Ovis aries: one gene and its partners. The protein of the gene in region 2 purifies or fractionates together with the protein of the main gene of each other region. This does not show direct contact. Links are inferred from orthologs where the notes say so. Each region holds a gene or a part of one and is shown on either strand. Other genes may lie near its edges.

The links.
Region 1: the proteins of SLC39A12 (region 2) and NAT14 purify together in Homo sapiens (co-immunoprecipitation; 3 studies listed by BioGRID and IntAct, counting the BioPlex papers as one, with this or other methods). This does not show direct contact. The link is inferred for Ovis aries from reciprocal best matches to the Homo sapiens genes SLC39A12 and NAT14.
Region 3: the proteins of SLC39A12 (region 2) and ABHD12 purify together in Homo sapiens (co-immunoprecipitation; 3 studies listed by BioGRID and IntAct, counting the BioPlex papers as one, with this or other methods). This does not show direct contact. The link is inferred for Ovis aries from reciprocal best matches to the Homo sapiens genes SLC39A12 and ABHD12.

The regions. Positions count from the first base shown.
Region 1 is NC_056067.1:62,802,815-62,808,997, forward strand, and holds NAT14 (probable N-acetyltransferase 14), read right to left. Parts: upstream 4,294-6,183; 5' UTR 4,222-4,293; intron 3,821-4,221; 5' UTR 3,777-3,820; coding exon 3,705-3,776; intron 3,456-3,704; coding exon 3,360-3,455; intron 2,935-3,359; coding exon 2,386-2,934; 3' UTR 1,786-2,385; downstream 1-1,785. Other genes in the region: soluble scavenger receptor cysteine-rich domain-containing protein SSC5D, read right to left, coding at 1-46, 313-339, 808-832; ZNF628 (zinc finger protein 628), read right to left, coding at 5,080-6,183. UniProt on the Homo sapiens protein: Probable acetyltransferase. May act as a transcription factor that regulates the expression of coproporphyrinogen oxidase by binding to a promoter regulatory element.
Region 2 is NC_056066.1:31,767,303-31,773,717, reverse strand, and holds the start of SLC39A12 (zinc transporter ZIP12), read right to left. Parts: upstream 3,562-6,415; 5' UTR 3,470-3,561; intron 2,174-3,469; 5' UTR 2,101-2,173; coding exon 1,840-2,100; intron 1-1,839. UniProt on the Homo sapiens protein: Uniporter that promotes Zn(2+) import from the extracellular space to the cytoplasm across the cell membrane. The transport activity is temperature dependent. May play a role in neurulation and neurite extension.
Region 3 is NC_056066.1:42,426,990-42,433,415, forward strand, and holds the start of ABHD12 (lysophosphatidylserine lipase ABHD12), read right to left. Parts: upstream 3,830-6,426; 5' UTR 1-3,829. Other genes in the region: ANKRD16 (ankyrin repeat domain-containing protein 16), read left to right, coding at 4,421-4,740.

The DNA of each region.
Region 1 (6,183 bases), on a different chromosome or scaffold from region 2:
AGGCGGCCCGCACACCCATGGGGCCCATCAGCCAGACGCAGCCGCTCTGCAGGGACGGAGGAGAGGCTGTGACATCCTGGAGACCCCGGGACTGGCGGGCAGGGCAGGGGCTGGGGGCTGTCCTGCAGGGGCATGACCGGGAGCCCCTTAGGAAGCAGGAAGCTGGGTGACCGTGTGGTCCTGCAGAAGTGGTGTGGGGGTCGTGGGCACACGAGGGTGGCCAGGGTCCAAGGGAGGGTGAGCCCAGGCCGGGCGTGGGGAAGGCTTGGAGCTGAGCGCACCCAGATGGGAGACGTGTTTGGGGCCACTTACCAACAGCCTGGGTCCCCATCAAAGCCACTGGAAGGGAGGTTGGAGGGGTGAGGCAGTGAGGTCCTCGCTCCTCTGAACCAGAAACCCCGCCGCCGGGAAGGAGGACTTGGGCCCAGCGCCTGGCCGAGGCCCAGGTCCTTGGGATGGGTGGAGCCCGGAGGCCTCAGGTCTGGGCAGGGGGCCAGGCCCTTGGCTCTCCCCACTGGGGGCCTGGCTAAAGGTGAATGATGGGTGAACCCCCTCTGCAGGGTCAGGGCTCATGGAGGGGAGAGGAAGTCCTGGGGTCTCCTGAGAAGGTGGGACTCAGGGTGCCTGAGGCCAGGTCCCTGGAGGATCAGTCAGAGGCAGCCAGATGTCCTGTGCTCCCCCACATCCCCCCCACCAAGCAACAGGGACGGGGCCCTGGAACTCAGAGGCTCTGCAGTGGGTCAGCTCAGGGGTCAGAGGGCCCGGCCCGGGGACCCTGAGTCCCGGAGGAGGGGAAGGGTCACTCACCGAGGAGGCAGGCCAGGACCCTCATGTTTGCAGAGTCAGGGTGGGGACAGGGTGGAAGTGGACGGGAGCAGGAGCTAGGAGGAGGGGACCGCCGACGCAGGAGGGAGGGGAGCGCCTGCCAGAGGAGCCCTGGACCCGGGGAGGAGCGGGCGGGGGCTGGACGCTCTGCAGGAGGAAGAGAGGCTGCCGAGGAGGCAGCAGGGGACAGGAGCGGGGCGGGGAGGGGGCTGGCCGGCGGCTGAGGCCTGTGGAGGAGGGCGGTGGAGGGCGGGAGGGAGGGTGTCCAACTGCAGACACCCACACAGGAGACAGCCGGCTGGCCAGAAGTGCCGCACTCAGGCTTGGGGGGCAGCAGGCTGCAGGGGAGGATCCTGACAGGGTGCGAGGGCGGGGCGCCCACCCATCTGCTGCTTCTCCTGTCCCGCCAGGGTGGTGTGCCGGAAGCAGAGGGCTTTGAGGGTGGGCTCACATCAGCTGCCGGGTTGGGGACCTGGTGCAGCAAGAGGGCTTGCAGGCAGACACCAGGAAGGACTTCCTGGACTGGGAAAGGAGACAGAGAGACTCCCTTCTCCATTCCCCCTGGTGGATTTGCAGGCAGAAGTCATCAGCCCTCTGTGTGTCTCCCAAGAAAACTGGGGTCAGGGGTCGAGAGGGCCAAGGGTCAAGACTTGGGTGGGGGAGGACGACTGCACACACACACACACACACACACAACACACACACACACGCACAGGAACGTACTCTTTCTCTCTCTCTCTCTGCACTAAGCAGCTGTGAGGCGGAAAAAATTCGGTAATGGGGAGCGTGAGTCAGAGGGCTGGCAGGGAGCTGGGCTGCCTGAGCTCATCGCCTCCCCTGCCCCCAGTCCAGCACACTCCCCCCTCCCGACAATTACTGTCAACCTCGGGAAGGAGGGGCCAGACAGAAATGGTGGGTGTGGAGGCAGACTGGAAAAGGCATCAGAGAGAGATGGCGAGCAGCGGTTACAGGCTTTATTAACAAACGGGTGTAAAAAACCAGATGGGTCTGGCCGCCCCTCTGGGCTCCCACCTTCCTGGGGAGGGGCTGGGCAGGCAGCCCTGTGCCCACCACCCCCTCCCCGGGGCTCTCTCCAGGCAGACAACACTCCCCTGCAGAAGCTTTGCTCAGCCCCTCTCTGCCTCTGCAGCCTCACCCCTTCCAAGCATGGGCATCGCCCCCCACCCTACCTCCCCGGGGCTGAGGGGGGCCCTCGTCCCTGTTTGGGGTACCCCTGCCAAGTCCTAACCCCAGTGGGGGGCGTACTTGCTCGGCCTCCTCTCCTGCCACATGTCATAGCACAAGCAACACAGGCTTGGCAGACAGACAGATAAGATTTCTCTGCGCAGACAGAATCTGAGGCAGGGGTTGGACGGGTTGAACTCTCTAAGAAGTTCAAACACTATGGATGGGCATCAGGCTGTGGCAGGGTCTCTTGCCCTCTGCGGGCCTCAGCTGCTGGGCCCTGGCGGGGGGGGGGGGGGGTAAGGATGGTGTGGAAGTGCCTGCACACAGCAGGTGCTCACTAAGTGCTGCTTTTCCTCCTGCTAGGGTCTGCAGTCACAGTTCCTTGCTGAACTCGCGCACCAGCGTGTAGCCCATGCAGCCCCAGCTCCGCTCGGCCTGGTAGCCACAGCCCTCCAGCATCCCGGCCACGCCCCAGGCTGCCACGGCCACCGGGACCACCAGGCGCGCCCGGGGTTCCCCCATGCCGCCAGCCCAGGCTCGCGCCCGGGACTCGGCAAAGGCCAGCAGGCGCCTGCCTACGCCTCGGCGGCGGTGCCAACGGGATACCGAGAGGCGGGTGACCCGGGCCCCATCCCCAGCACCGGTGCCTGGGGCCAGGGCCAGGACCCCACACACGTCCCCCGAGCCCCGGACTGCCACCCACGGCCCCCCGAGGCCGCCGGGCGGGGGCAGCGAGCCCCAGCGGGCCCGCAGGCCCAGCTTCATGGCCGCCACAGCCAGGAACACGGGCAGGAGGAGGGCCAGGGCGAAGGAGGCCAGGACGAAGCGAAGGCCGCTGCTGGCCGCAGCCAGGAGGAGCAGGGCCGGCGGCCGGGTCAGTGCATGAAGGGCCACGCGGTTCTCTGTGTCCTTCACGCCAGCCTGCGGGCAGGAGGAGCAGTCAGCGTGGGGGAGGCAGGCAGTGGGGGCGGAGGCAGGCCCTGCCTGGGGTGGGAGCAATCGGAGGGGAGGGGACAGCAGTGAGCCGGGGCCTGTGGCAAGCTTGCCGTGGCGTGAACACACTGCTGGCTGGCACACTGGGCTCTGAATGAGGGAGCTGGTGAATTAGGAACGGTGGGCGCTCCGGGTTCAGTGGAGTTGCAGGCGTGAGGCAACAGGGGAGACTGGACAGAGGCGCGGCCCCACCGAGCGGGGAAGCTGGAAGGGCCTGGGGGTCCTCGAGGGCCAGGCTTGGAGGAGGAGGAGGCCGGGGCACAGGGCTGAGGGGAAGTGAGGAGATGGAAGGGCTTGTACTGCGCGGGTTACGGCTTGGATCCATGATCGGGGAGCACTACCATCCCGCGTACCATGTGGCGTGGCCACACACACACACCCAAAACCGTTCTCAATCTCCAGGTTAGGGAGAAGGCACTAGAAAGAGGAGGGTCCAAGGCTGGAAGTGCCTTAGGAGCAAAAGATTGATTTCCAGGGTCACCGCTGGCTCAGGAGGGTGGCTGAAGCCACTCGGGATGCCCCCCCGCCCCCTCCCGGGCTCCCTGGTGCCCCTCATTCTGTCCCCGCCCTCCCAAGCTCATTGGTGTCCCCATTCTGTCCCCGCCCCTCCCGGGCTTTCTAGGTTCCCGCCCCCCACCCCCAAGTGGTACCCTCCGTCCCACGCCCCCGGGCTCAGTGGCGCTGCTAATGACTCTCACCTTCAGCATTTCCAGCACTAAGGGTTTTTCATCTTCCCTCATCTCCCGCACCGACAGGTGGCTGGGGGCCATGGCAGCCCCCAGGCTCCCGCGCCCCCAAAGGAGCAGGCGTGCACCTGGCGAAAACAAGCAGGTCAGTGTCAGGAGGGCACCTCTTGTTCCCCAAAGTGCCCCAGAGCTGCGGGCCAGCAGCGGCAGCGTGTCCAGGTCAGGAAGCGGGATGCTGGCGGCCTCCAGGCGAGGCCCGAGACAGAACAGGCTTCCCGGTCAACCCAGCGACCTTCCGAAAGCCTCTCGGGTGAAGCCCTCGCCCCAGGCGGTATTCGGCGACCCACGCCTAAAAGCCTGGTGCCCGCCAACACCTGCCAACAGCGCGCTGCCTCCAGGCCCCGCAGCTGCCCTGGGGGTAAGTGAACCCCCCCCAGCCAGGGAAAGGACCGCGCTCCCCGCTCCCAGGGCCTCTGCCCCCGGCCGCCCCCGAGCGGCGCCTGTGGCAGGAACGAGGACTTTCAGACACCTCTGTGGGTCGCTCCGGCTTTTAACAAGATGCGGGGGGTGGCAGGGTCGGGGAGGGGTCGCCGGCGGAAGTGACGTCAGACCCGCGCGCTGGGAGCGGGGCGGTGCCTGCTCTCGGCCTTAGCAACCGTTGCCAAGCGTCCGGCCTGACGGGTTAGAGCCGGGAGGAGCGGCGGAGAGAGCTGGCGTGCGGGACGCTGGCAGGGGAGGGGGCCGGACTGAAGGGCCTGGAACTATAGACCGGCTGTGGGCGGGCAGCGGGGCTTACCCAGCGCGCGCCCCGGCCGGCTTCCCGAAGGCCTCTGGTTGCTAAGCGACCTGAGCGCGGGGGTGAGGCCGCGAAGGCGGCTTGATTCCCACTGGCTCCCCGGCTTTCGCGGGCGGGGCCGCGACAGCGTCTCAGACCCACAGGTTCCCCACCTGCCCACCAGGGCTCTCAGTGACCGTTGGGATAAGCAGTCCCGCCATCCACCTATTTTTCTGCACGAGGAGGGGTGCAGTGACTTACAGAGGAAGTGGCAGAACCGGGGTTCCAGATTCCAGCGCCTCCCCCATACCGTGACTGTTGCGTCCCTTTTCTTAAAAAATGGATAAACAGGGCCCCCACAAAGGAGCAGCGGCTGGCCCCAAGACGCAAAGTCACCTGCGAACCAGGAAGCAGGGGACCCCACCAGTTCCCAAGTGGTGGCTATGGGCATGACATTGACCTCCCACCCCATCAATAAGAAGAAAAAACACGAGAGGGGATTCTGGTCTTTATTTGCAAGCCCAGCCTGCAGCTCCCTCCGCCCAGCCCAGCCCAGGCGGCGATGGGGTGGGGGCCTCTTCGTGGGGCGGGAAGAGATACCCGTGGTCCGACTCAAAACGTGTGCACCAGCTGGACCGCGGGCAGAGTCTGGACAATCTGGATGGAAGGCAGGCCCTGTGGGGCCACGCCCCCGGGTGCCGCTCCTGCGGGGACCACTTGTACCATCTGGGGGCCCGGGGCCGCAGGGACGCCCGCAGGAGCAGAGGCTGGGCCAGGTGGGGGGGGCGCCAGTAGCTGCAGCGCAGCGGCGCCTCCCCCAGCGCTGCCGTTCTCCAGCAACTCTGCGGCTGGGGCGCTGCGGATAATGAGCAGCTTCTGTCCGGGCGGGCCTGAGGCGGGCGGCTCGGCCAGACCCGACGGTAAGGTCTCTACCTCCTGCACACACAGCTGGGTCTGCTCCCCGTCGGCCCCGCTCAGCACCAGCACGCTCTGCAGTCCCTCCTCCGTCTGCAGCGTCTCAAAGAGCACATCTGGGACTACCCCCGGGCCGGCCTCGCCCTCGCCAGGCTCCACTGGGCCGGGGTCCGCCAGTAACTCCTCAGCTGCCCCGCTCTGAACCACTAGCAGATTAGGCGCCTCGGTGGTCACGGCTCCCCCGCTGGAACTGGACAGCGGACCCGTCACAGGCTGGAGCTGGACCGTGGTCACCTCCTGGGCCGGCTGGAGTTGGACGGTGGTCAGTTCCGGGGCTGGACGAAGGGGCTGGAGCTGAACCCCACTCACTTCCTGTGGGCCTGTTTCCCCACCCGCCACGTTCTGCAGAACTATGAGGCTCTGCCCTCCCACGTTCCCCGCAGCGTTGCTTCCTCTCTGCACTCCTAACCCCCCAGGGCCCGGCAGCCAGACTACTCCAGCCCCCGGCCCAGCTTTCCCCGCGGCCCGCGGGCCTTGCCGGGCGCAGCTGCCTCCCCCGGCGGGGCCGGAGGAGGGCAGCAGGATGAGCTTGGGGGGTGCTGGCGGGGGCGGGGGCGTGGGCGGCTGGACGCTGCTGGGAATCAGCTGCAGGCCCTGAGCCGTCTGCACCAGGAGAAAAGTCTGCGAGTTGGGAGCGGCGGGGCCGGGGGCCGCGGCCGGGGCCGTCCCCCCAGCCACCTCTAGGGAGAGCGTGGCCTGGAGGTGGGGGAGGACGTGCACATCCTGGGTGGCCGACGGGGC
Region 2 (6,415 bases):
GAACACAGATTTCATGGACTCCTTGCTTAGATCATGGGTGTTTGGGTAAACTAGATCCTTCTGAGGAGGTGAAGCAGAGATTTGCCTCTTTTCTTCCCCCAACTTTAGTCTCTTAGAAAAAGAAATAGCAGCAGCAGGAGAGGAAAGGTGTTACAGTGTTTCACTTCCTAGGAATAAGAATTAATTCAAACAGAAGCTAAATTGGCCAAACACCTGTTAATATCACAGAAAACAAAACAAAACAAAAATGTACAAAACAACCTATTCCACCCCCCTCCAAAAATGGAGAACAGTCTTGCCTGTTTACATCCTCCCCTTACCCTGCTAAACTAATACTCGACCAGCCTTAATAAGGCACTTCATGTTGTTAGAGGAGAACATTTCTCTGAAGCAAATTCTCAGAGGACATTAATAAGATATGACTCCTAGTTATTTCCGGTGGGAAGTCTTCTGTTGCTATATATATAAATTAATGTCATCACAGATGAGCTGCCTCTCACAACACATGTTTTCTCTGGGAACCCTTGGGAGTTTTACTAATTATTGAATTATTTATTGTTTGCACAGAGCAGAGAAAAATTCTGTTAGCCAGACCCTTCTGTCATGAAAAACAAAAAACAAAACACTTGGCCAGGAAATGTTTCCCTCAGAACTAAGTGTGATTGAGAAAATCTGCCAAAACTTATTCTGGGTGGAAATGATTTTGCTTCTCTTGTTTAGTCATGTCTTCATTTATTTACTTACTTATTTGTGAGGTCATTCTGAAAAAAATCTAATCAGTCAGGAAAAGGATGCTGCGAATGCTTTGGTCTGCTTTTTGCAGTCTTTTTTTAAAAAAATGTTTTATTTATTTGGCTGTGCTGGGTCTATAGTGGTGGCATGCAGGATCTTTAGTTGCAGCAAAGAGTTGAGGCATGTGGGATCTAGTTCCCTGACCAGGGGTCAAACCCAGGCCCCCTGCATTGGGAACTCGGATTCTTAGCTACTGGACCACCAGAGAAATCCCTGCGGTCATTTTTAAAACATAGGCTCTTACTGCTGGGGATGTTCTTGTCAAACTCCCTTTCTCCCAATGGAGGCATTCTGATTTTACATTAAATGTTGATTTTTACATTAATTCTGATTTTACATTAATGTGCCTTGCAGAGATTGTTTTTAAACATTCCTGGGCAAGTGAAATATTGATGTTTGGAGAAGAAAATTGCAACCTGGGTATTTTGTGAAGCCTGGCCAGGTGATGCTGATGGATAGCCAGGGTTTGAGAGTCACTTAATAGACTAGGAAATGGCTGGAAAATGGGCCTCTGTGACCCTGGATCTCATTTCAGCCCCGCTGATAGCACTTCCCTTCCCCAGCTCAGATTCCCATTTTTAAGAAGACAATCATCCAATTCATTAAATCCCCATGATATAAAATCTTAAAACACACCTACTGATATTGAGGAGAAAGTACTTAAAAATGCAATGTTAGGCAAATAGTGGATGGATTTACCTCAGAAAACAAGCAGCATCTATATAACCAATCACATTCAAGGTGACTGCAATAAAAAGGATTAAGTCAGAAAGAAGAGGGAACTATACTTCTAAGCCTGCAGAAGGGTTGTAGCAAGGCTTATAGAAGGCTTATTATCATTTTAATATAAACAAGCTCTCCATGTCTTTAAATGCCATATGCAGAATACTGTATGATCTGGTATATGGGAGTTATTATACCGTAATGCATTGGTCACTCAGATATTGGAAGGTTTGCGTCTGATTTTGCTTTCTTGAAATAAGTGCCTGGGAAATGCATGGCTCTTGTGAACACGCTCAGTCCCTGATCCCATTCTATCACACTAACCAGATTGCAGTCTCCTTGCCTTCCGTCTGTCCTCCGTGGGCACCCAGTTTTCTCCAGCAATGTTCTGATGAGGCTTCTTGAGTGGTTCAGGGGACGGGGGTCATCAGCAGAGAGAACCCGTAGAACTTCTGTCAGCCGCCCTGGACTCCAAGTACTGCTGCTGTCCGGAGTAGAGGGTTTTTCCGTCTCAGTAGAGGGATCAAGGCTGAGTAGAAGGAACAAGGGCACCCAGGATACAGAAGGCTTTGTCCAGAAGCACATTTCCACTCTTCCTCTACCCCAAGTCTGCTTTGATGGAGGAGGATGGGTTGGTGTTCACGGTGTCAACTTGTAGCTGGAGGAATGTCAGTGGAAAGGGGGAAAATGAAGGCTTTAATTATTGTGCTTGCAAGAGGTTTGAAAAGATTCATTAACTGGGTGGCTAAGCAGATTGGCAATGACAAGCTGTTTCTAAACAACAGGGGATCTGTAGGTTGTTCCTAACCCCCACTGGCAGGAAACTATGGTGGGTTTAGACTTTCAACCCGTTCAACAGCCAAGAAGTGAGTTATATTGCTTCTCTGGGAACTACACAGAGAGTCAAAAGATAGGAAGAATACACTTCACTGTCTGTCCTAACGGTGCTACAAGTCATAAAACCCAGATGTATGAAAAGATAACTAGTGGGAAGCTGTGATATAGCACACAGAGCTCAGCTCAGTGCTCTGTGATGATCTAGATGGGTGGGTGGGGAAGCGGGCTGAGGGAAGGAGGCTCAAGAGGGAAGGGAATATATCTATACTTACAGCTGATTCACTTTGTTGTAAAGCAGAAACTAACACATTGCATAGCAACTATACTTCAATTTTTTAAAAAGAGCAGGAAACACTCTCCATTTTTAAATTGAGGTATAGGTGATTTACAACGCTGTATTAGTTGCAAGTGTACAGGGAAGCGAGTCAGTTATACATATACATTTTTTCAGATTCTTATTTTAGGTTATTATAAGATATTGACTATAGTTTCCTATGCTATATAGTAGGAATTCTTGTTGTTTACCTACGGTATGTACAGTAGTGTATATATGTTAATCCCAAACTCTTTATCTCTCCACACCTCCAACAGGAAACAGCCTCATTTTAACCCATTGATCTATGGGCCTCTTTAGTAAAGTAAGTCAATAAAAGTAAACAGAAAATAAATTGAATACATTACAGATATCACACTGAGTTAGAAGATTTTCAAAAAGGAAAGGACGAAAACAGTAATGTGCAGAACTACTGGTTAGTTTTCAGCTGATTAAAAGTACGAACTATCTTAGAAAAACAAGAGAGTTTCAAGTCCACGTGAAGCATGATAAATCCACATATTTGGGGCTTACTACAGAAGTGAAAAGGACGACTTGAGAGCCAATCAGCTTTCTGGAAAAAAAATATTAATCTCTTCAACCGATTGCTTAAGGAATGCAAAATGTTAACAGCATCTCATGGCAGACCTTGGCTCAGAGATGAGCTAAAATGGCTGTGGGGTAGTAACAAAAATACTAGGATTACTTTTATGGTTTAAAAAGAGAGAGCAAGTTTAAGATTCTTATGTTAGCATTTAAAAAATGACAGAGGATGATACAAACATTTCTAAACCCAGTGCTTACCTTCAGAAGAAAGATAAATGATTATTTATCTGGAGCTCTGTGGCCTTTTAAATCTTGGAGGGTATTTCGTGGTTACAAAGTCCTCTGTTTTTAAAATTCCTTGACTGTGCGCTGGGAGCTAGAGAGGATTATTTCAGCCCAGAAAAGTTTTCAGTTGCTATGGAGAGTAACAATGAAGGTGCATAAAAGCGAGAACTTTCTGTCTGGCCAATTTTCAGGAAAATCAAATCGGGGTCGCTAATGAACCCAACTTTTTATATCAATATTTACCAATTGTCTTAGAATTCTGAGAACAACCTTAGAATTTCTTACAGCCACTTGCCCTTTAAAGGATAGATCTAGGTCAAATGAGTTCACTTACAGAATGGAAAGGTTTTCATGTTAAATCAAGATTTCTTTTATTTCTCAGATGATTTTGTGATAACTGCTTTATCCACACTCAAACCAAGGATCTGTTAAAAAAAAAAAAAAAGACAGGCTCATTAGAACTTTATTTTATAAGGTACAGGATTTTAAACAATTTCAGGCGTTCTTAAGTCCATGTTTCAAAAAAAAAAAAAAAAAAAAAAAGCATTTGCTAGAGGAAATTCTTACCTGGGACTCAAGAGGGAAACTTTAATTAGCTGTGTATATTCTGATCTCAGAGTCTGTGTTAGAAGTAATTACATCATGCCCTCCGGTGCTGTGAAACGAGCTCTCACTAACTTATTAGGGAATAAATGACTGAAAGAACAAATGCGGTAAATTTTATAGGCGGTAAGAGAAGTTAAAAACCCAAGATTTCAAAGTGGACATGGAAAGAGCACAGAGGCTCCAGAGACACAAAATGAATCTGAAAAACGCAGGAAAAGGAGAGGGATTTTTGAGTTGGGTTCTGAGGTGGTGGTTGGGGAGGGAGACCAAGGCAAAAAACAAAGAAGGTGAGATAATTGTTCTCAAACGTTCATTGGATATGAAGATTGGGAACAAGAGGGAAATGATCCTAGGACAATGCTGGTAAGCCTGTTAGAAATAGGGACGGCCAACGCTTCCAGAAAACGCCCAGCTGCTCTTGACCTACACATCAGGGAACACTCAAGATTTATCTAAACTGTCAGGGGAAGGGCCATGGCCTGTATCTCTCGACATCTGTGGGAAGATATTCCTGAAGTAAGAGTCCAAAACCATGCGTCCAACAGAGGAGTGAGGAGGTGGTCAAGACCTTCCAGCCGTGGAGGTGGATGCAGAACAGGAAATGGACTCCGGACCAGAGAGGGCACCTTGGGCAAAGCTCCCCGCAAGCTCCTGCTCCCGACCTACTGCCCACCCAGCAACGGGAACCACCTGAGCATCATTTGTAGGCTCTGCCCCATCTCAGTCTCAGGGACTCGGTGAGCCGGTATCTAAGTAGCCCAAAGTCTACTGAGCGAATTATCCAGTCCTCTTGTCTCCTGCTGCTTTTCAGAACTTCAGCTTTGCCTTATTTCTGGAATTAAGCCCTTGCTTCCTGGTCCACTTCCAATCATCAGATCCCCAGATCGGCCCTCCCAGCCCAAGTCCCTCCGTATAATTTTCCAGGTTAAAGCAGAGCTGCATCTTGACTGGCTATGAAGTGGTCCTGGGGGAGCGCCCCCTGCTGGAACTTTGAGATCTTTCTCCTGATTCCCAGAGGGATATCCAGCCTGAAGTCCTATGTTTCCTAGTCTCAGGTGCCCTGTGGCTAGGGATCCGCGCCTTTTACAGCCCCAGCAAGTTACCTCCTGCAGGAATTCTCAAACACCCATTACTAGTCTCAGCTGATCCCAGCACCTCAACCAGGCCACCCAGGAGCTAAGTGGCTGTAAACTAAGTGAACTTTTCCCTCAGGTTACAGTCTGTATCATTTGCCTGGAGGCTTGCTCTCCCCTCAGAATCATACATAAGTCAGCCACCGACCAGATTTCTTTTCCTGCCTCAGAGTGAGACAGCCATTAGGAGGGGCAAGGAGAAGCCTTGGAGGAAGGTGGAAGGCAGGCAGATCCCAAGGAAGAAGGAGGAAGCACTTGGCCGAACAGTGAGGTGTTGCTTTCTTCATCTGATCTGGGTTATAGCTCTTAACTCTTCATCCCCAACCTGCCTGCTTCCCCAACAAGCCTGAAATCAACCTTGCTTAAGCATGGTTATATTTGCAATCCAAACCAGTCTCTGGGGATAATGAGTTTCAGGTGTAAATTAACCCCCTTTATGTACAAAGAAGGAGTTCATTGACTCCTAGTTGACATTTACAAGGATTTACAAGGGTTTACTAATTTGGAAATAGTTTCATCTGTTGCAGTATTTCCTGATAAGTTGTTGTTTAGTCACTAAGTCCTGTCCAACTCTTTCGCAGTCCCATGGATTGTTACCTATGGAGCTCCTCTGTATTCCTTTTCCTAGGAAAAGGAAAAGGAGTATGTCAAAGCTGTATATTGTCACCATGCTTATTTAACTTATATGCAGAGTACATCATGAGAAATGCTGGGCTGGATAAAGCACAAGCTGGAATCAAGATTGTTTGGAGAAATATCAATAACCTCAGATATGCAGATGACACCACCCTTATGGCAGAAACTGAAGAACTAAAGAGCCTCTGATGAAAGTGAAAGAGGAGAGTGAAAAAGTTGGCTTAAAACTCAACATCCAGAAAAACTAAGATCATGGCACCTGGTCCCATCACTTCATGGCAAATAGGTGGAGAAACAGTGGAAACAGTGGCAGACTTTATTTCTGGGGGCTCCAAAATCACTGCAGATAGTGACTGCAGCCATGAAATTAAAAGATACTTACTCCTTGGAAGAAAAGTTATGACCAACCTAGGCAGCATATTACAAAGCAAAGCTATTACTTTGCCAACAAAGGTCAGTCTAGTCAAGGCTATGGTTTTTCCAGTAGTCATTTATGGATGTGAAAGTTGGACTATAAAGAAAGCTGAGCACCGAAGAATTGATG
Region 3 (6,426 bases), about 11 Mb from region 2:
AATTTAAGTCAAAAATTTTAGAAGAGACAAAGAAGAAGATTATAAAATAATAAAAGGATCAATTCACCAAGAAGATATAACAATTATAAATATGCACATACCAAATAGCAGAGCTCCTAAAACTAGGAAGCAAACACTGACAGAACTGAAGAGAGAAACAGATAACAGGATAATAACAGGAGACTTCAATATTCCACTTTCAAGAATGGATAGAACAAACAACACTAGATCAACTGGACCTGACAGACATATAATGAACACTCCACCCAACAATATATAATCTTTGCGAGTACACACAGAACATTCTCCAGGATAGATCCCATGCAAGGCCACGAAAGAAGTCTTAACACATTTTAAAAGACTGAAATTATAGAAAGTATGTTTTTCAATCAGTAAGAATGAAACAAGAAATCAGTAGTGGAAAGAAAGCTGGAAAACTCACAAATATGTGAAAATTAAAAACAAAAACATTTTTTAAAGCAACCAATGAGTCAAAAGGAAATCACAAAGAAATTAGAAAATACCTTGAGACAAATAAAAATACAGATACCAAAATATATGGGATGAAATGCAAGCAATGCTAACCAGTTAATAGCTATAAACACTTACATTAAAAAATAAGAAAGATCACAGCAACTTCCCTGGTGGTCCAGTGGCTAAGACTCCAAGCTTTCAATGAAGGGGGCCAAGGTTCAATCCCTGGTCAGGGAGCTAGATCCCATGTGCTGCAACTAAGACTCTGTGCAGCCAAATCATAAATAAATAAACTTATTTTTAAAAAATAAGAAATATCACACATCAGCAAGCTAACTTTACACCTAAAAGAACTAGAAAAAGAACAAACTAAACCCAAAGCTAGCAGGAAGGAGGAAATAATAAAGACTATCAAGCAGAAATAAATGAAATAGAAAATTTTAAAAATGTGGAAAAATTAATAAAACTAAAAATTTTATTTTTTAAAAACAAAATTGACAACTCTTAGATATATAGTGGAAAAAGGGAAGATCTGAATAACTAAAATCAGAAATGAAAAGGAAACGTTACAACTGATGTCACAGAAATAAGAACGGTTGTAAGAATACTTCAAACAACTGAAGGCCAATCAAACGGATAACCTAGAAGAAATGCATAAATCCTTAGGAACACACAACCTACCAAGACTGAATCATGGAGATACAGAAAATCGGAACAGACCAATAATGAGTAAGGAGACTGAATCAGTCATCAAAAGCCTCCCCAAAAGGAACAGTCCAGAAACATATTGCTTCACTGAAAAAGTTTACTGAACATTTAAAGAACTAGTATCAATCCCCCTATAACTCTTCAAAAAAAAACTGAAGACGAGGGCACACTTCCAGACTTATTCTGAAGCCAGCATAACCTTATACTGAAGCCAGACAAAGACACCACAAGAAATAAAATGAGAGCTGTAACAAGGTCATTGAAAGTGAGAGTCATTTCCTAGGCAGGTTGATAGGAAGTCTAGGGGTCCCCAAGGAGAGAGGGGTCTGGAATTCTCAAGGAGGAAGAAAGGACAAACTTTTTTTCCTTCTCTACATTCTTTAGGATTATATAACAACAATGTATTCTGCCTGAGGACAGTCTCTGGATTAAATCTTCTGGCTAATTCTGTTATCTTAAAATGTAAATTATGGGAGTAGGTCTGGTGAGGTGTTTACAACCTTCAGACATTCTTTGGATTCATTGGAAAGTATCTAACTTCATTGCTAACACTAACAAGCGGGTACTCTTTCTGCCCCCTTCTGATGTCTATGTCAGAAGCTTTCTCTATCTCCTTTATACTTTAAAAAGAGTACTGTTCTAACATTTCAGGAGGTAAAGATAAGCTGAGATACGTTCCCAAAATCTTCTCAAGCAGAGTGGAGGGAACCCTCACGCATCCCCGTTCCCATCAGAGATCTAAATTAAGTGGGTAAATTTACTGACCCAAAACAAAGTTCACAACTAAAAACAGAACAATATTTCTGTGAATGTAGGAGACAAGACCCCAAGCAAAGAATGGAGCAAGCGCGATGTGAAATTTCCTCCAAAATGTGTTGGGTTTGGAAGAGAAATGTACTGAGCCTTGACATACCCATCTTGCCCTCAATCTTTAAGGTTTTAAACTTCAATACATTTGAAGAATAGGTTAAATTCTTCACCTCTGGCTTATTGCCAATGGCCGGTCTAAGGGACATACAAGTTAAGCAGAACATTCTCACAACCTTTAGGCATGAGAACCTGGTAAGTATAATGTGAACCTGGTAAGTATAACGACAAAGGGAAAAACAGGCTGTGGGCTAATAGTACTGGGAAATCCCTTCTGAGGGCACGGGGCTGCCCTCTGTGTCATCCTCAGAAGGTACTCCTGAGACTACACACAATACTCATTCAGTAATCACCTCTTATTAATATATGTAAAATATTGGGCCTCCCAGGTGGTCTGCCTGCCAATGCAGGAGACAGAAGAGATGCGGGTTTGATCCCTGGGTGGGGATCCCCTGGTGGAGGGCATGGTAACCCACTCGTGTTCTTACCTGGAGATTCCCATGGACAGAGGAGCCTGATGAGCTATAGTCTTTAGGGTCGCAAAGAGTCGGACAGGACTGAAGCAACTTAACAACAAAATATCGTGAGATCCAATAGAGAATGCACAAACAGGACAACCAGCCCTCCAGCTATGCTCTAATAGCTCAAATGAAGGAGGAAACCTCTCTAAGACCACACCTAGAACGTGACAGGCGTGAAAGTCATTCAGTAGTGTCCGACTCTTTGAGACCCCATGGACTACACAGTCCGTGTAATTCTCCAGGCCAGAATACTGGAGCCGGTAGCCTTTCTCTTCTCCAGGGGATCTTCCCAACCCAGGGATTGAACCCAGGTCTCCCGTATTGCAGGCTGATTCTTTACCAGCTGAGCCACAAGGGAAGCCCAAGAATACTGGAGTGGGTAGCCTATCCCTTCTCCAGGGGATCTTCCCAACCCAGGGATCAAGCCGGGGTCTCCTGGATTACAGGCAGATTCTTTACCAACTGAGCTATGAGGGAAGCCCACAGAGGTATAAATCGCTATAGCGGTACAAGGAAGAGAGACAGGGTCACGTCCGCGGGATGGAGCAGAGGAGAGGTGAGACGTCCACAGAGACATGAGGGGGCCCTTTGAGCTGGTTGGACGTGGGGTGCATATCAGACCAAGCTAAGGAAGGTATCACACGGTCCACAGCCTGGAGGCAGCACATCGTTTGCTGCGGACAGAATACAGGGATGGATGGGAAAATCAACAACACGCTGAGACGCGCACAGAAAGGTCTCAGATGCTTCCAGGGGTTGGGATCTGATTCTGGAGGACAACGGGACAAGAACATTTCTGAGGAAATATTTTCTGAGGGAAATTTCTGAGGAAAGGTCACCGTCAGGAGCACGCGTTAAGCGAGGCGGCGCCGGGCACTTTTAGAGAGAACTTCAGAGAACAGGAGCGCGCTCCGGACCAGCGGATCACTGACGACCCTCCTCCAGAGAGGCACACACGCTCAGGTTCCGGGACAGTGCTTCCACCCGCAGGAAGGCAAAAATGTGAGCGGGCTGCGGGTGCGGCTCGGGGCAGGGCCCCAAGGAGCCCGCAGGGAGAGCTAGGAACGATGTCCGGACCAATGTCCTCCACTTTCTGGTCCGGAGCTCCAGGCTGCGCGCAGCGCCGCCGCAAACCGTCCTCCGCTTCGGGCCGCGCTTCCCCGGGCCGTGGGCACAACAGGCGTCCCCGAGAAGAGCAAGCCCCTGAGTAGTCCGCAGACAGTCTTCACCAGCTCCGCCTCCGCCGCCACCGCCGCAGCCGGCAGGAGAAGAGCCCGCCGGCGACACTGATAGAACGCATCCCCGGAAAATCATAGCGCGCATTCGGAGGGGTCGACTCCAGCGGCCAATCGGAATGCGCACCCTCACTCTCCCCTTACCCCGCTAGCGGGCCTCTTCTAGTCAGAGCTTCCGCTAGCGCGGAAGAGGCGAGCAGAAACTTTCCCAGAGTTCCTCGAGGCTCTGGGACCGGCGGAGGGGCCGCGGCCGGCGGGGGTGGGCGGGGTCGAGGTTGTGGGCGGAGTTGCCTGCAGGGGGCGGGATCGTGGGCGGGGACGCGCGGGTCCCACCCCGTCCCGGAAGGGCCGGAGTCGCGTGTGACCCGGGCCTTCGGCGGCAGTCCAGAGGGTTCGCCCCAAAATGAAACCAGCGCGGGCGGCGGCGTCCGCGGCGGCTTGCGGGGCGCGTGGTCAGCCAGAGACCTGAGAGTCTTGGGGGCTGGGTGCATCCGGAAGAGGGTCCCCGGGGGCTAGAGGGTCCCAGGGGAGGATCTCGAAGGCGGGCCCCGGCGGAGGCGGGGCGGGCCCGGAGGAGGGTCCTGGGCTGTCCTCGGCGAGCCTGAGCCTGCGGCCATGGCCGGGCCCGCTGACCCGCGGCGGCTGTTCCGGCTGGTGCAGGACGGCCGGCTGTGCACCCTGCGCAGGGAGCTGCGGGCGGCTGGGCACGCGGGCTGCGCGGGGCCGGCCGGGGACACCCTCCTGCACTGCGCCGCCCGCCACGGCCGCCGGGACGTCTTGGCCTATCTGGTCGAGACCTGGGACCTGGACATCGAAGCCGCCAACCGGGACTACAAGCGGCCTCTGCATGAGGCTGCCTCCATGGGCCACCGGGACTGCGTGCGGTACCTGCTGGGCCGGGGGGCCGCGGTCGACTGCCTGAAGAAGGCCGACTGGTAAGTGGTGGGCCTTGCAGAGGGCCCCCACCCCTCCCCGCTGATGGCAGATTCCCACTCTTGGTCGGCCTCCACACCGTAGCCGGTCAGCCTTCCCCTACAGAGCAGAGCATCGTTGCTGCCCTTGTGAGGTTAACTGTTGCAGCCTCCTGTTCCAGACTGCCTCCCGTGATAGAGCAGAGAGCAGTAAGGAGCATGCTGAGATAGAACAGACTCAAACTACGACTTGCCTGTAGGTACTGCGTGTTGCATGGGCCCCAGACGGGATGTTCTGGAAACATGTAGCTAAATGATTACTGCACCCATGACACTTTTTAACTTTCCGTTTTGAAATTCCTAGTTATAGCTTCTCAGAAATTTCCAAAGACAAGTGGGGAGTCCCATGCACCCTCCCCCAGTCTTGCCCCAAAGTTAACATCTTACAGGGGGTGTACAGTAATAAAAAGAAGAAACTGACATTGCTACAATCAGGACACTTACTCAGATTTCACAGTTATACAGGTGAGCACAGGTAAGTATGTGGCTTGCTCTGTGTGGTTTATCACATGACCACCTCCACAGGCACAGTGCTCACCTTTAGTCCATCAGTTCAGTTCAGTCCCTCAGTCATGTCTGACTCTTTGGGACCCCATGGACACACCAGGCTTCCCTGTCCGTCACCAACTCCCAAAGCTTGCTCAAACTCACACCCATTGAGTTGGTGATGCCATCCAATCATCTCAGCCTCTGTCGTCCCCTTCTCCTCCTGCCTTCAGTCTTTCCCAGCATCAGGGTCTTTTCCAATGAGTCAGTTCTTCACATCAGGTGGCCAAAGTTTTGGAGTTTCAGCTTCAGCATCAGTCCTTCCAATGAATATTCAGGACTGATTTCCTTTAGGATTGACTGGTTTGATCTTCTTGCAGTCCAAGGGACTGTCAAGAGTTCTCCAACACCACACCTGTAACCATCACACGAAGCAATTGCATTCTGTTAATAGATCCACATGGTTTTCAGTCCTCACTATGTCTGTCCATTTGCTTAGAGGTTTGAACACCTGAAGGTTCATAACATAATGAAATTCCTGAATGAATCCACAAGGAATCCCTGATTTTATATAAAAAAGAATTGCATCAGACAGCCATATAGCTTAATAAAGTACATCTTGCCCACTGGCGTGGGGGAATAGGCCTCCTTATAGGAGTTTTGAGGTTTGCGCTTTGGCTGTGACTAAGCACAAGACATTTTCTTCTGCTGCTAGTAAGTTGGTCTAAAGATAGTGGAGGCATATTACCTCTTTTAAAACAGTTCTGTGGAAAAAGAATAGCAAGGAGAGATAAGAAAGCCTTCCTCAGCGATCAATGCAAAGAAATAGAAGAAAATGATAGAATGGGAAAGACTAGAGATCTCTGAACTGAACTGAACTGTGGATAAAGAAACAGCCTCCCCAAACAACTATCACAAGGGCAAGTTTCATTTGACTGTGGGCTCAGGAAGTGCAGTTACAAAGAGACATTTTTGACTGTTCTCACCTTGCTGGCTTTCGCAAGTCCCTTCTTCCCTGGAGTCATTCCCTCTACGAAGCCCCTTCTTTAGGATTCCAGCCTTCATTCATCCAAGTTTCTCCCTCTTGATTTTTCATTCGCTCTCATTACTACATTACAGAAATAAAAAACCGAAACATTTTAAATATACCAGTGTGTACATGAC